3 linked regions of the Drosophila melanogaster genome follow. The protein of the gene in region 1 interacts with the protein of each later gene in a pairwise test. Each region holds a gene or a part of one and is shown in the gene's direction. Other genes may lie near its edges.

Region 1 (5,527 bases):
TGCCCTGCCCACTCCAGTTGTCAAGGCGGTGGCTCCTGCTCCTCTCGCTCTGCCCGTTGCTGCGCCGGTGGTGAAGACCCTGGCTGCTGCTCCCGTGGTCGCTGCTCCAGTGGTCAAGACTGTGGCTGCTGCTCCCGCTGTACTGAAACAGGTAGAGTTGGAATCTTCGCCGCGCTACGACTTCTCCTACGGCGTTCACGACAGCATCACCGGCGATATCAAAAGCCAGGTGGAGACCCGTGACGGTGGCAATGTTGTGGGATCCTATTCCGTCCTGGATGCCGATGGTTTCAAGCGCACAGTGACCTACACCGCCGACGACATCAACGGATTCAATGCGGTGGTCCAGCGGGAACCGGTTGTCGCTGCCCGCGCAGTTGCTGCTCCAGTGGTTTCCGTCTCCGCTCCAGCTCCAGTTCCCGTCCATATTTCCTCCGCTCCCGTTGCCTCGCTGCCCGCTCCCATCTACTATCCACACCAGCAGGTGTTCGCCCCACAGCAGATTCAACAGGTTGCCGAGCAGCAGGGTGAGGTGGTGGAGTCTCCTGTGGCCCAACAGCCCGAGCTGGAACCCACTCCCATTGACTACAACGAGGGTCAGCAGCAGCAGCAGGAGCAGCAGCAGCAAACCTATCCCCAGGATCAGCAGTTCCCACCCTACTCGCCAGCTGGTCAATCCTCCCCAGCTCCTGACAGCGATGATTCCGACGTGGTGGAGGCACGATCTGCCCCGGAGGCCAGCAGCACCACCACCACCGCTGCTCCAGTTACGGAGGAGAACAAGAAGACGGCCTAGATTGGATTATGAACGGAAATATTGTTGAAATTAATAAGGAAATGAATAAAATACTTCGAGAATACATAAAAAATTGTCTACTAATTCAAATTAAATGTAGTTTAGTTACATTTATAAGCTGATAATTCAAAAGCTTAAATGCGGCGATTTTAATAATTAATTTACCACATTAATTTAGCGGATTACTTCTCAAAGAATCGAAAAACAAACAATTGAAAAAGGGACTAAATCGATTGGCAGCAATCATCTCTAAAAAAAATTTTGTTTATTTCTGACAACCGCATATAAACAAAATGAAAAGAGCATTAACCGGAAATATCTGCGCATTTATTGCATTATTACTGATAATCGAGAGATTAAATGGTATTAGTGCAATGATAACATATTTGCAAGCAAAAAAAAAGAGACAATCAAATTTTATATTTAAAGGTAGACAGATAAAATCAGTACCTTTTATTATCCAATTAAATATTGATTTAGGTGGCTATTTTTTGTCTTATTAAATATGGATAGAGCTTTACATTTTAACACATATTCGTTGAATAAATTAACAACAAAGATTGAACATAAATATTTATGGAAATTGTAATTGAAGCTTTTAAACGTATAGCCTTAATATTAAACATTATTAATATTATATTATTTTAAGATGAAGGTTTTCCTTACAAAAGTAAAGACGAGAAAGTAAAACATAAACATTTGTCATAAACATTTAAATGAGCCCGCGTGGTGTGCAGATTCAGCCGACTTCTATTCAGCTGTTGGCTGAATTTGGCTTGCATGCGCACACGTTCCACGTTCCACAACAACATATTGAAATCCAAAAGCTGCTTCACCACTTGGCAAGCGATCGTTAACAAGTTACACCAGAAATTTATATATACTAAAAAAATAATAAGTTACTTAAAAATTTAGTAATAATTATGTGGATATAAAAAATGTACATTATTTTTCTCTACGCGCCGTTGTCCGAAGTTAACAGCAAGATAACATGCGATATTAGGCACCTACGTTCACACTGGCATCAAATTTCGATAACTGACAAAGATCGATAGCCATCTGCGTTTCGTTCGCCACTAAGGCTTGCTTTTCAAATCAAACGGTAAATTCTGGCGGCGCCAAGCAGGCATTGACTCCAATTTCGCATCGATTACGAGAGTACTGTCTACGTTTGTCTACAGTTTCACCGACACATTCAGCGTGCTAACACGCTCGACAAATTCTCGTGCTCGCGTTTCGTTAGGGAACGATAAAAATTGTGTAAAAATTCAGTAAAGTGAATTTCCATTCGAAAAAGCCAGCACACGCATTCAAAAGGGCAAAGGTACAAAGGTAAGTGCGTGTGTACTCTTTTCTTCCTTTTCGCGGTTTTTCCCACTGCTTTTTACTAGCGTTCATCAATTTGACCGCCTCTTCGTGATCTCCTCTTCTCGTTCCCCTCTTTCCGCGAATCGGCAAATGGCGGCTGCTGCAGCTGTTGCCAACCAAAGGCGTAGTTCTTAACTCGCGGGGGCTTGAGCGATTGGGTGCCCCGTTAAAAATAATCTTGTAAATTAGTTGGCTTATGTTGGCTAACACATAGGAATAACATATCGAGTTGCTGGCCACAAAGAAAACCCCTTTTTTGAACTCATGGTTACGCCCCTGTTGCACGCCGAAAGGAATATAAAAGACAGAGATAAAAAAAAAGAACCCAAGCAGCCCTTGATTCTGCTTCTTCCTGACATTGACTCACATTTTCCTTTTCAGTTTCACACATTTCATCGCAGCAGCAAACATCTAAACTTTTAAAGAAAAAACACAAAACTCAAAAAAAAAAAAAAAATGAGTAAGGCGGATTCTAACTCACGACAGGGCTCCTACAAGGCCAACAGCATTAACACGCAGGTAATGTACACAAGATCCTCCGCAGAACTGCGTTCGGAACTAACCTCACTTTTTGCCCTAGGACTCACGCATGCGCCGCCATGAGGTGACCATCGAGCTGCGCAAGTCCAAAAAGGAGGACCAGATGTTCAAGCGGCGCAACATCAACGACGAGGATCTAACGTCGCCGCTCAAAGAGCTCAATGGCCAGTCGCCGGTGCAGCTGTCCGTGGACGAGATAGTGGCGGCCATGAACAGCGAGGATCAGGAGCGCCAGTTTCTGGGCATGCAGTCTGCCCGCAAGATGCTCAGTCGGGAGCGCAATCCACCCATCGACCTGATGATCGGCCATGGTATTGTGCCCATTTGCATACGCTTCCTGCAGAATACCAACAAGTGAGTAGTGGCTTTAGAATGTTGATGAGAGCATTATTGAATATCCCCTGATTCGCCGCTACAGCTCAATGCTGCAGTTCGAGGCCGCTTGGGCGCTTACCAACATCGCCTCTGGCACATCCGACCAAACGCGCTGCGTTATCGAACACAATGCTGTGCCGCATTTCGTGGCTCTGCTCCAGTCCAAGTCCATGAACCTGGCCGAGCAGGCAGTCTGGGCTCTGGGCAACATTGCCGGCGACGGAGCCGCCGCCCGCGACATTGTCATCCACCACAACGTAATTGACGGAATCTTGCCACTGATCAACAATGAGACACCGCTCTCTTTTCTGCGCAACATCGTCTGGCTGATGTCCAACCTGTGCCGGAACAAGAATCCATCGCCGCCATTCGATCAGGTGAAGCGGCTGTTGCCCGTCCTGTCGCAGCTTCTGCTTAGTCAGGACATCCAAGTGCTGGCCGACGCCTGCTGGGCTTTGTCCTACGTCACGGACGACGATAACACCAAGATCCAGGCTGTGGTCGACTCGGACGCAGTGCCGCGCCTGGTCAAACTGCTGCAAATGGACGAGCCGAGCATTATTGTGCCCGCCCTGCGCAGCGTTGGCAACATTGTGACTGGCACAGATCAACAGGTAGGAAAACAAATGATTTTAATCCTTATTGTTATAACATGCCTGACCGACCTGTTTTTTTTTTTTTTTTTTATTAGACTGACGTTGTAATTGCATCTGGAGGTTTACCAAGGCTGGGACTCCTTCTACAGCACAACAAAAGCAACATTGTGAAGGAGGCTGCCTGGACGGTCAGCAACATCACAGCAGGTAACCAGAAGCAGATCCAGGCTGTGATTCAGGCCGGCATCTTCCAGCAGCTGCGCACCGTGCTGGAGAAGGGTGATTTCAAGGCTCAAAAAGAGGCTGCCTGGGCGGTGACAAACACCACGACATCTGGCACTCCCGAACAGATCGTCGATCTAATTGAGAAGTACAAAATATTGAAGCCTTTTATCGATTTGCTGGACACAAAGGATCCGCGTACCATCAAGGTGGTGCAGACGGGCCTATCCAATCTGTTTGCCCTGGCGGAGAAACTTGGTGGCACCGAGAACCTATGCTTGATGGTCGAGGAGATGGGCGGTCTAGACAAGCTGGAAACTCTGCAGCAGCACGAGAACGAGGAGGTCTACAAGAAGGCCTACGCCATCATTGACACATACTTCAGCAACGGCGACGACGAGGCCGAGCAAGAGCTCGCACCTCAGGAGGTCAACGGAGCCCTCGAGTTCAATGCCACCCAGCCCAAGGCTCCCGAAGGTGGCTACACGTTCTAATCGCCCACCCCACACATTCCAAACTCCGCTCACACGCCTTACAAACAACTACACCTTCGACCGCGCTCACACACTATGCCATTGTCAAACATACGCATACTCATCATCACATCTTACAAACATTCCCAAACACTTTGGAGGTATGCATGGAAACACAGGCGAATGCATTAGCTTAAAGTCATAATTGAATCGGGTTGGCAAAATCCACTCGCATGAATCCCCATTTAACATACCCGTATTCCTCGCGTTAGACTAGACTTCACAGATTGCAGCATGGATCTTTCTGGCAGTGTTCCTCGTTCACGATGCAACCGCTCGGGCAGCTGCGCTGGCTGGGATCCGTGGATCATAGTATTTCCAGAATCCGTCTGTACAGGGGGCACCTTATGTTTGCGTGTACTAGGCTTTTTATTGGATACGTTTCGAGCTCATTTCGGATATATTTTAGGCTGTTTAGTATTTATTTATGTATACAGGAAACGCTTTTAATCCTCCACCTTCGCGCAAGCATTACAACAACAACAACAACAACAACAACTCATTCCCTTCACACCAGTGTCCTCATTCCCGAATCGCATGTTTATATTCAAAGTTGTCAATAAATAATGAATTGTTTGAATGATTAATTAAATTTCATGTGTATTTAAGCTGCATTTGAGCATTGCGAAAATTGGAGCCTATTTTTGGGCCTTGGCATTTTTTTTTGTATATTATTTGGAATGCTATTGGGATATACACCGATGCAGGCAATCGAATTTAAAATGTTATCCCTTCGATGCGCTGGCGCCTTTTGTCCGTAAATCCGCGATAAAAAGTCATGCAGTCAATACATGTTTTTTTTTTTGTCTTGTACATTTAAATCGCATTTGGGCCGTAAGCGGATAGCCGGAAGATTAAGAGCTATCTACCGCAGCCACGCCCACTCGAGCAGCGGTGGACAGCGACCCCAAAAAAGTTCCAGATTAGATATAATGATTAAACAACCGACGAGTGAGTAGTGAGTAGTAGTCTACTACTGGCACAGAACGCGCACCACGCACAACTCAATCAAGATGAATCGCAGCGTTCGTGGTTATTGCAGTGATCCAGAGGGTAAGCTTAATCAGTGGAGCGACGACGTCACATCAACAACCATG
Region 2 (3,641 bases), about 11 Mb from region 1:
CTAGTTGAACCCACGACTCTTCTCTTTTTTGAATACACATCTTCGACTTTTATGCATTTATTGCTGTGAAAAAATGTTAATTCTCGACGTTATATTTTTATTTGACTTTTACATATCGATCTTCTCGCCCTGAGATCTCCATCTCCATTCGACCATACATAGTTGGCTCTTGGCCATCCTTATGGCCATATATTGGACTGACTGAATTGGTTGATTCGCCTCGTACTGGTCTACTGTGTATTAATTGGTCAAAGGCAGTAAAACAGAAAGTAAACGTTATAAATCAATCGTGGTATGAGTTCTTTTGAACTCTTCAAGCGGCAAAATTCACAGGGAACTGAAATGATTGTATTAACAAATAAGTCAAAGGAACGATGCTAGTAAGCTAAAATCGATGCGAGTAATTTGTGTTTATTCTAACTTAATTTATTTATAGACTTATAGATTAAATCACCATAAGTTGCATCCGAAAGAATCGCATCTCAAAGTAATAAAAACTAACGATATTTTTATCAACTCGACGCCATAAATATGCCCGTTGCGATATTCTTATTGTAAATTCTCGAATTGTCTGCTGATTAAATTTACTTATCATTTTGTCAGTTTCTTAATATAGAATTCATTCATTAAAAATAGGGCTGATCTTTTAAATTATCTAATACGTTTTTGTATCAATACTATAGCTATACATGCTATAAACTATTTGACTTTGTATTGCAATGCTCATCCATACCAATATTAAAATGATTAAAGTTGTAAATTACAAAGCAGGAATGTAGTTCGCTTTTTTCGCACTGTAAAATTCAGTAAATGGGCATAAATCATAATTTACGTACTACCTTTTAGTCTAAAGTGAAGGTGAAGATCCATCCATCCGGTTGATGTTTCCATTTGGATTTTCAAGTTCAGATTGGATAGGATCGGATCGGTTGGCCGGAGACAGTTTGGGCTATTGTGTGCGGGAGTTTGATTAACACAACATCCACTGGCCGAATCTTTATTAGTGACCATGCACTAATTAAGCCCTGTCGTGTGATTTGGTCTCCTCGCATTCGCATTCGTTCGCGTTTGTCACTCGATGCAAATGAATCGCGTCTCTGTGGAGCAGAAGATCATAAAAGCCGCTAAAAGGTGTGGGTGAAAAGAAAAACAAAACCCCGGCCAGCCAGCCAGCGGATTCAGTTCTTTTGTTGATCGAATTGATTAGAGCTGCGGCCGAGATCGATACGTTTGTATATTTCGGATGTGCGTTGCTGGCCAGCGAGGGTGTAATTAATCACAACACTCAAGTTCGTCACTTGACCGAAGTGTTAAGTGCGCTAATAACGCCAATTTGCATAGACCGACTTTTACCCATCAACACGATTACAATTAAAGTGTATTTCAAATAGTGCTGCGTTGTTGCTATATATATAGAAATATTTTGTTTAAATAATCAAATTGGATTGGAAAATTTGGAGTTCATAATTTCAAATCGAAATTCACTTGTCGGACATGCCGCATTTTTGTACCCTGCAATGGTTTGAAACCGAGCTAAAATTTATGTGGGTCAAAATGGATTGAATCCATGTTAGCATTGTCTGGAGCTGCCATCCTGATTTCTACACATGTAAAGAGTTGCCAGTCTGGTTTCTACACTACTGGATTCTATTCTAGTCGATAAGTTGCTTTCTATTCGATTATCTTGTCAATTATCGTCGATATCGAGTAGGCATCGACACAAGTACCAGCTCTAATTCGCACGGAATTTGTTTGTCATTCAAGAAACAATTATAATTCGCCGCATTTTTATTCTAAAAGCGCTTACGAATATGGTAAGTACCTCGCCGAGTGCATTTAGTAGAGCCGCTAACGAAACGAAAACCCCTCGCAATACAGTATCAGCCATCACTGAAAGTCCAGCCCGCCGAGGTGTCCGTGCTGAACGCCACCGGCCGTGTGGGAATGCCCACCGAGGCCAACTGCCTGAACCAACTGGCCCACGTCCACCGGCTGCGCGACTCGGAGCTGAACTACAACGAGCACCAGTACAACCGCAACATGCAGATGCTGCGCAACCACGAGGGCCTCGGCGTGCCCCTCAAGATGGGCATGGAGCGCTTCGCCGCACGTCAGGTGGGCCGCCTGCCCTTCCTTTCGTCCAGGTGAGCATCTAGCCCGGTCTGGGAGCTTCTCAGTCTGGACAGGAATCTCTGCAAGGGCGGAAGCATTCAGAAATCTTCTGTTTCCACATTATAAGAATCCCGGAGAAACCTGAGATATCCTACAATCTAGAAAATCTAAACTTCTTGCCTAATAATGGATACCTATATACGTACATACATACATACGTGTATACCAAGTATACCTGTGATTCCCATAGTACCATTATTACCGAAAACCCAGCAATGACTACTTATCTTCTATATTAATTCTTTCCTTTATATTGCAGCAACTTCATGGACGATGTCCTGACTGGCCGCTGTGATTCCATTGGCTTCGAGGACTTCATGAACTTGCCCGAGAACAGCGAGCATATGCGTCAGCCCCACGCTGTGGTGGAGAAATCTCTGGGAATTTACCAATAAGTCCCTGCAAATGAAGTTGCTAAATGCCTGGCATTCAGCCTTTAAACTCTAAGACACTCTTAAGATCAGCAAATAAAATATATTTTGGTGCGACCAGCTAGAGGTAAACAAAATTCACCATTTCTTTGAGCCAAATTTATTCGTATTTCGTTTGTTTAACTCCACATCAATACATTTAACTAGTTCGTTAAACTTACACATTTTATTCAAACAAATCTAAAAACTACACGAAAATATTGGCAGAAGGTTGTTGTACTGAGGAGATTCGTTAAAATAATAAACTGAAGAGATATGCGTTGACATCATTCATTATTTGTAAAAATAAAACAAGAGATGGTAAAATGGACGAATTCGTTTCGTAAAATTAGGCTTATACTTAAGGAAAACTGAATTGTAAACGGAGGGCGCATTTCAACTTATACAAACATTGCATATATACATGATTTATATTTAAAGAGGAAAATGACAGTAATTGAGATAAACATAGTTAATAAAACGCATTACATTCCTCAAGCAAAACACGTCTAATCAACAATAAATATTGAAATCGCTAGCGTTTTAAATGCTCTTCGCTAAATTTGTATTGTGTTGCGAGTTTAAGCTTCAATTACTGGAATTATCCCTTTAATTGTGATGATAGGCATTCGATTTTTATAGTATATATTCTTCAATATGCATAAAGGCGCAATTGCAAAGGGTCATGGGATTCTAGTAGATCCAGTTGACAGGCACCCACTGCTCCTCGTGGCTCATCTGATCCAGCGTTTCCACCACCTGGCGGAACGTCTCATCGAAGTCCTCGTTCACGATGACCATGTCGAAGTATTTCTCATACTTGCGCTGGACGAAGCTGCTCTCCTCGACGGTGGCGACAAGGTCGTCGTCCTGTTCGGAAAAGTCATAGAAAGCGAATGTGTTAAGCAATGTTTGGGTATTCAGGCAGAGATCTAACAGGGCTACTAGGGTGGCCTAGGTGCGCCAAGCGGATGATTGAGTTGAGCACAATTTATACGACACTGTAATTAAGGATAGGTCAGGGCACATTACCTCATACAACGACGCTAGGGACTCGAG
Region 3 (4,777 bases), on another chromosome or scaffold:
TAGAGGGTAAGCCCGGCCGACATATTGAAATTCATAACTACATACAAAAACCAATTACAATATCAATTTAAAAGGGATTAAAATGGACCGGCCGGAGGCTTAAGCGGCTCCCAACGCCACTCGCCATCTAAGCTGCCGCTCCTGTTGGTCCTCCATGGTCAGAAGATGGCATATTTTGTGGCGTATTTAAGATTTGTTCCCTTCTAAAATTTGTGAAATTGCAAATTGTATTTGCCTGAGCCGTGACGAAACCCACAAACTTTTAAATTAAATTCTGAGCTAGCAGATTTTCATAATAAATAACGAGTCTTACACGAGTATAATCAGCCGTAATGCCATTGTGTAATGTAGAGATACACTGTATTCAACCAATACCGGGGCGGAACTTTCAACAAGTGGCGAATTCTTTGCGATTCGGTGTGTATTTTTGCATAATTTATTTACCCTGCTTGTTAAATCACAAATGCTGTACACAAAGAACCGCAATTTATGCGAGAGTATTGAAGTCTGTACACTGGACCAGGCCAAGATGCAATTTGGCTAAGTAAAGATGCCGATAAAGTGCAGTCGGATGGTGTGCAAATAGACTAAAAACATAAACTGCAGACGAGGCTAAGCAGCTCAAATGCATTAAATTTAAACGCTCGACTAAGCGGTTTAATTTGGAAAGTAGCAAAAAGCTTCGCCAATCTTTCATCGGACCAAGAATTCACTTCCTGTCCCTCCTCGACCACGTCCATTCATCGATTCGTCCATCCATCATGTCTATCAATGCCCGGGTCTTAGCCATGAGACAGATAAATCAGTTAAGCATCGTCATGTCAAGTTAACAGGCGATTACAAGGGCTTTACCTGACCAGATACGAAGCTTAAGACCATTGCGAGAGGTCAGCGAGGTTTAAGAGCATGTTTCAGTGAACCATTCGCCCTATTATCTATAATATGCAATAGTTCCTTGAACATAATGTTGGCCAATGAAAAAGTAAGCAGAAAAGAAGCAAAAATTTAAAAGTGGTATAGTCTCAATTAACTTAAGCACATATGTATTTGTAATCAAAAGCGAGGGCAATAAATCAAATAAGCTGGCGATTACAAAAGGCCGTCTGCATGCACCGATAGTTGATAAGCAATTGAGTGTGGGCGACGCAACAAGAGGATATCACGAAGGACACGAAGGATGGAAGCCTGCAGACCTCGGCTTGTTGATAAAAGAAATTAAACAGACAGCGCTGAAATAAAAGGGAAAACACAGAGGCAAAGAAGCATTAAGCCCACAAGACAATTGACAATGGGTGGGCCTGAAAATGGTTCAAGGATTCGAAGAGGGGTGTCCTTTTGGCAGGGGATCTGTGGCATTTGTCTCGACTGTCTCGTTGACATGACGTTGCGCGAATTGTGCGCCAGGATTGCTGTTGTGCGTTCTGTTGGCTGTGTTTTCGGTTTGCGAGTCGTCTGCCAACAAAGTGAGCAACACGCGCCGATGATTATGTTGCCGCTGACAACGACAACAACCACAGGAACAGCAGCAACACCTAAAGCAACAGCAATAACAGCAACACCAAAAGCAACATCAGCAACAGACTACTCCGAAAACGAGTGCCATTTTCGGAGTCCTGTTGGCGGCAAATGTCTTGTGGCACGAAGCTTTTCATTGACTAAAAGTGACGCATGCGCAGTTGGTCAGCCAACTTGGACTCCGATTTGAATTCAGTCCTCCGTCCTCAGTTTCAGTTCGTTTTTGTCACTCGTTCGTGCTGCACGGCACACGCGTCGTATGAGCGATATCACCTGGTCTTCTAAGACTGTTTTATTGGATTTTGGCGCAAGAAGGCAAAAAAGCCGGCTAAAGTGTCCCTCGTGGGTGTGTGTACGTGTGTTGCCGGAAATACTTTGAGCAATCGAAACGACAAAAGGCGAATAAAAAAAGATAGAAACCAAAACAAAAGTCTAAGCAAATTAACTTGGCCCATTCGTTGTATTGCGAGTATTGTTCTAGTGGTTATATTATGTTTGGGGTTTTTTGCCCAGCCCTCCTGCCAGCACGAAAGTAGGTTAATTGACGTGTGTTGCGGGCGTATCTACAAGGAAAATAATAAAAAAAAGTACCTAGAAGTAGAAAAACAAATACACGAGCAGCCAGTGAAGTGGTCAATTGCCACTGCCAGGGGTCTCTGAACCCCCTCGATAAATCAAAAGTGTGGGCAGAAAGTCCGGCTAATTTAAGGTATGTCAAATGGTATACTTATTGTTGAATATTTTATTATAATATTGCTAAAAATACAAGTTTAATCAACACTGACCGCAGTGTTAATGCGTTTATTTTGACGTTTGTGCCATTGGCTTCAAATAAATCTACATAATGTGGCAAAAATGGAGGTTCAATGCACTAGCAAATATCTATTGTTTTTAGTTGAACGAATTTTGTGCTGATTATTTGTTTCTACGTTGGACAATTTTAATTAGTTCGTGCATTGAGCAAGCATCGATTAATAGGTAATATATAACCCTAAAAAAATTTGAAGCACAAGTGTGGAAGTAATTTTAAACGAACGTCATTGTTTTATTGTTTTAAAAGCTACCATATTAAAGCGATAAGCTTCCAATTAAAAGTTAATGGGAGTGTTAAGTGTTAAATATTTGCATTAATGTGAGGCATTTAATTTTTTTTTTAGCCAAGTTTGTGGTGGTATGAGTAGAGTATGAGATAAATAGTTTCTTTTGTTATTATATTGCGGTAAATGATGTATTTCTCTTGATAAAAATAAAAATGCGGTATATTTTTTTAAATTACCCATCGAAAAAAAGTTTCGCATGCCAATGCGACAATTGACACTGCAGCAAACAGAAAAAAAGGACATAATACAAAGGGGAATAACATTGCGTAAACAAAAATAAACATATGCAAAATAAACTTCAAACAAATGTTGCCGCACCGAGTTTTGGGCCATCAAAACAAACAGAGAACACAAAAAAGGATAAAAACAGAACAAAAAAATTGAAACCGAAGTGAGCAACGCGGGGAAGTGGGTTCATGGTCGGTTGCGAATCGGTGCCTTAGAGGCAACTTTGTTGCACAAAATTTATTAATTTTTTTTTTCGCCAAGTGCGTGCTTGTGTGTGTGTGTGTGCGGTGTGTGTGTCAAATTTAAAAGCATTCTTTCCAGTTGCCTTTGGACGGGGGATGTCCTGGCAGCTGCCTTTTTGTTTTATTATTTTGCGGAAGCTGCGAACCAACATTTATAAAAAGGTTTTTCTTGCTCGTCCTGCTACGTGAGCCATGCACACACAAACACACCAACACACACACACACACAACATACATGCCCACACCCACAGACGCACATTGCTGTGCATTACCGTTATTTTATGACGGAAGTACATTTAAGCAGATTTTTTCTCACAGAACTCCCGCTCCCTTCAACCGAACTGGAAAAAAGGGCTGCCAAAAATGTACAAAAAAAAAAATTGGGAAACCGAGGAAATTTAAATATTTTCTTTTACGCTGTGCTTTTCATTTGCCAGTCTCGCTAAAATTTATGACCAACAAAATTGGAATATTCCCCAAAACAACAGTAGCAACAATAAAGCCAAGACAAAGTTCGCTTCGATGGCCGTAAAAAATAAGAAACCTTTACGAAGCGTTTCGATGAAAAATAACCATCCAGAATTTGAATCAAGTAAGAAAACATTGAAATACTCGATTAAATAAGCAACTTAATACTCAAAATATAGAAACAGATGACTAGATTAATTTTGTATGGTAGTGATTTGTTGTATTATTTGTATTTGTTGTATTTGTTGTGAAATGATGTATTATGCTTTTGATTTGAAAACAGAATGTTTGATAGCATATCATAAAATTTATATTAAGCCATTCCGCAAATTGAACTCGAGAAGTTATGAAAATGATAAGCTTCATAAACCAAATACTTTTCAAATGAACTCCTCCGCACCCTAGGCACATATTATATTAATTGAAATTTAATACAATTACCAGGCGAATGTGTGGAAAGCCAAGTGAAAGTCGGCAGCCAAAACACACATAAATTCAAGCCAAACACACACGCATTCCATGTTGGGAAGGCAAGGAGATTTCTTGCCAAGTAAGTGACTCAATAAATAAATTTACTTGCCAACTTTTTGCCTTGTTGTTGCGGCCTTGGGGGACTGATTGTTGCTTTCTCAAGGTAGATTTGCGTTGGCATGCTCTCCCCGTCGAAGGATCTGAAAAATACTGTAGCCGTAATAAACAACACTTGATCGAGGACGGGGGCACAAAGTTAAGTGTGCTTTACTGGGGCACGCGAAATAAATTTCTGGAATTTAACAAGATGAACGAGAATAGCAGGAGACAATTCTTTTTCAAAACGAGACCTCCTAATAAGATGTTGTTGAAATAGAAATTTGAGTAACATGCTGATTGTATTTATCGGAATAAATTGGTAGAGTATTCTACAACAACTGCCAATTTAAATCCCCGACTTTTCACTTATTTTTCATGAGCCACTTTAAGCTGTGAATTATACCACGCCAAGTATTATGATCTGATCTGAGCGAGGGTCGTAAAGCGGAATCCTCAAGAATACGAACTTGAATTTGCACAGCATTAGCACAGACTGTGGGGGTATCTAGAAAACAAAGACTGGGGTGGGAGGGCGTTTTTTACTCGCGCTTTTATTAAGTAAGTGAGCTATTCAAAATCAAAGCAGCGGAAAAATCCGCATCGCCCAGGGGCGAACGGTGTGGCAAAATGTGTCCGCCGATTGTCAGGCAAATG

The links. Proteins that work in one complex are often made in the same cells at the same time.
Region 2: the proteins of Pen (region 1) and Pomp interact in a two-hybrid assay, tested with the Drosophila melanogaster proteins (one large-scale study listed by BioGRID).
Region 3: the proteins of Pen (region 1) and Ccn interact in a two-hybrid assay, tested with the Drosophila melanogaster proteins (one large-scale study listed by BioGRID).

Annotation. Positions count from the first base shown.
Region 1 is NT_033779.5:10,055,077-10,060,603, forward strand, and holds Pen (pendulin), read left to right. Parts: upstream 1-1,823; 5' UTR 1,824-2,128; intron 2,129-2,545; 5' UTR 2,546-2,620; coding exon 2,621-2,683; intron 2,684-2,744; coding exon 2,745-3,058; intron 3,059-3,122; coding exon 3,123-3,693; intron 3,694-3,770; coding exon 3,771-4,391; 3' UTR 4,392-5,019; downstream 5,020-5,527. Other genes in the region: Cpr31A (cuticular protein 31A), read left to right, coding at 1-796. UniProt on the Drosophila melanogaster protein: Binds specifically and directly to substrates containing either a simple or bipartite NLS motif. Promotes docking of import substrates to the nuclear envelope. Seems to act as a cytosolic receptor for both simple and bipartite NLS motifs.
Region 2 is NT_033779.5:20,785,972-20,789,612, forward strand, and holds Pomp (pomp), read left to right. Parts: upstream 1-1,684; 5' UTR 1,685-1,811; coding exon 1,812-1,814; intron 1,815-1,878; coding exon 1,879-2,144; intron 2,145-2,431; coding exon 2,432-2,567; 3' UTR 2,568-3,127; downstream 3,128-3,641. Other genes in the region: vari (varicose), read right to left, coding at 3,276-3,452, 3,615-3,641.
Region 3 is NT_037436.4:17,688,252-17,693,028, forward strand, and holds the start of Ccn (Ccn), read left to right. Parts: upstream 1-1,763; 5' UTR 1,764-2,224; intron 2,225-4,777.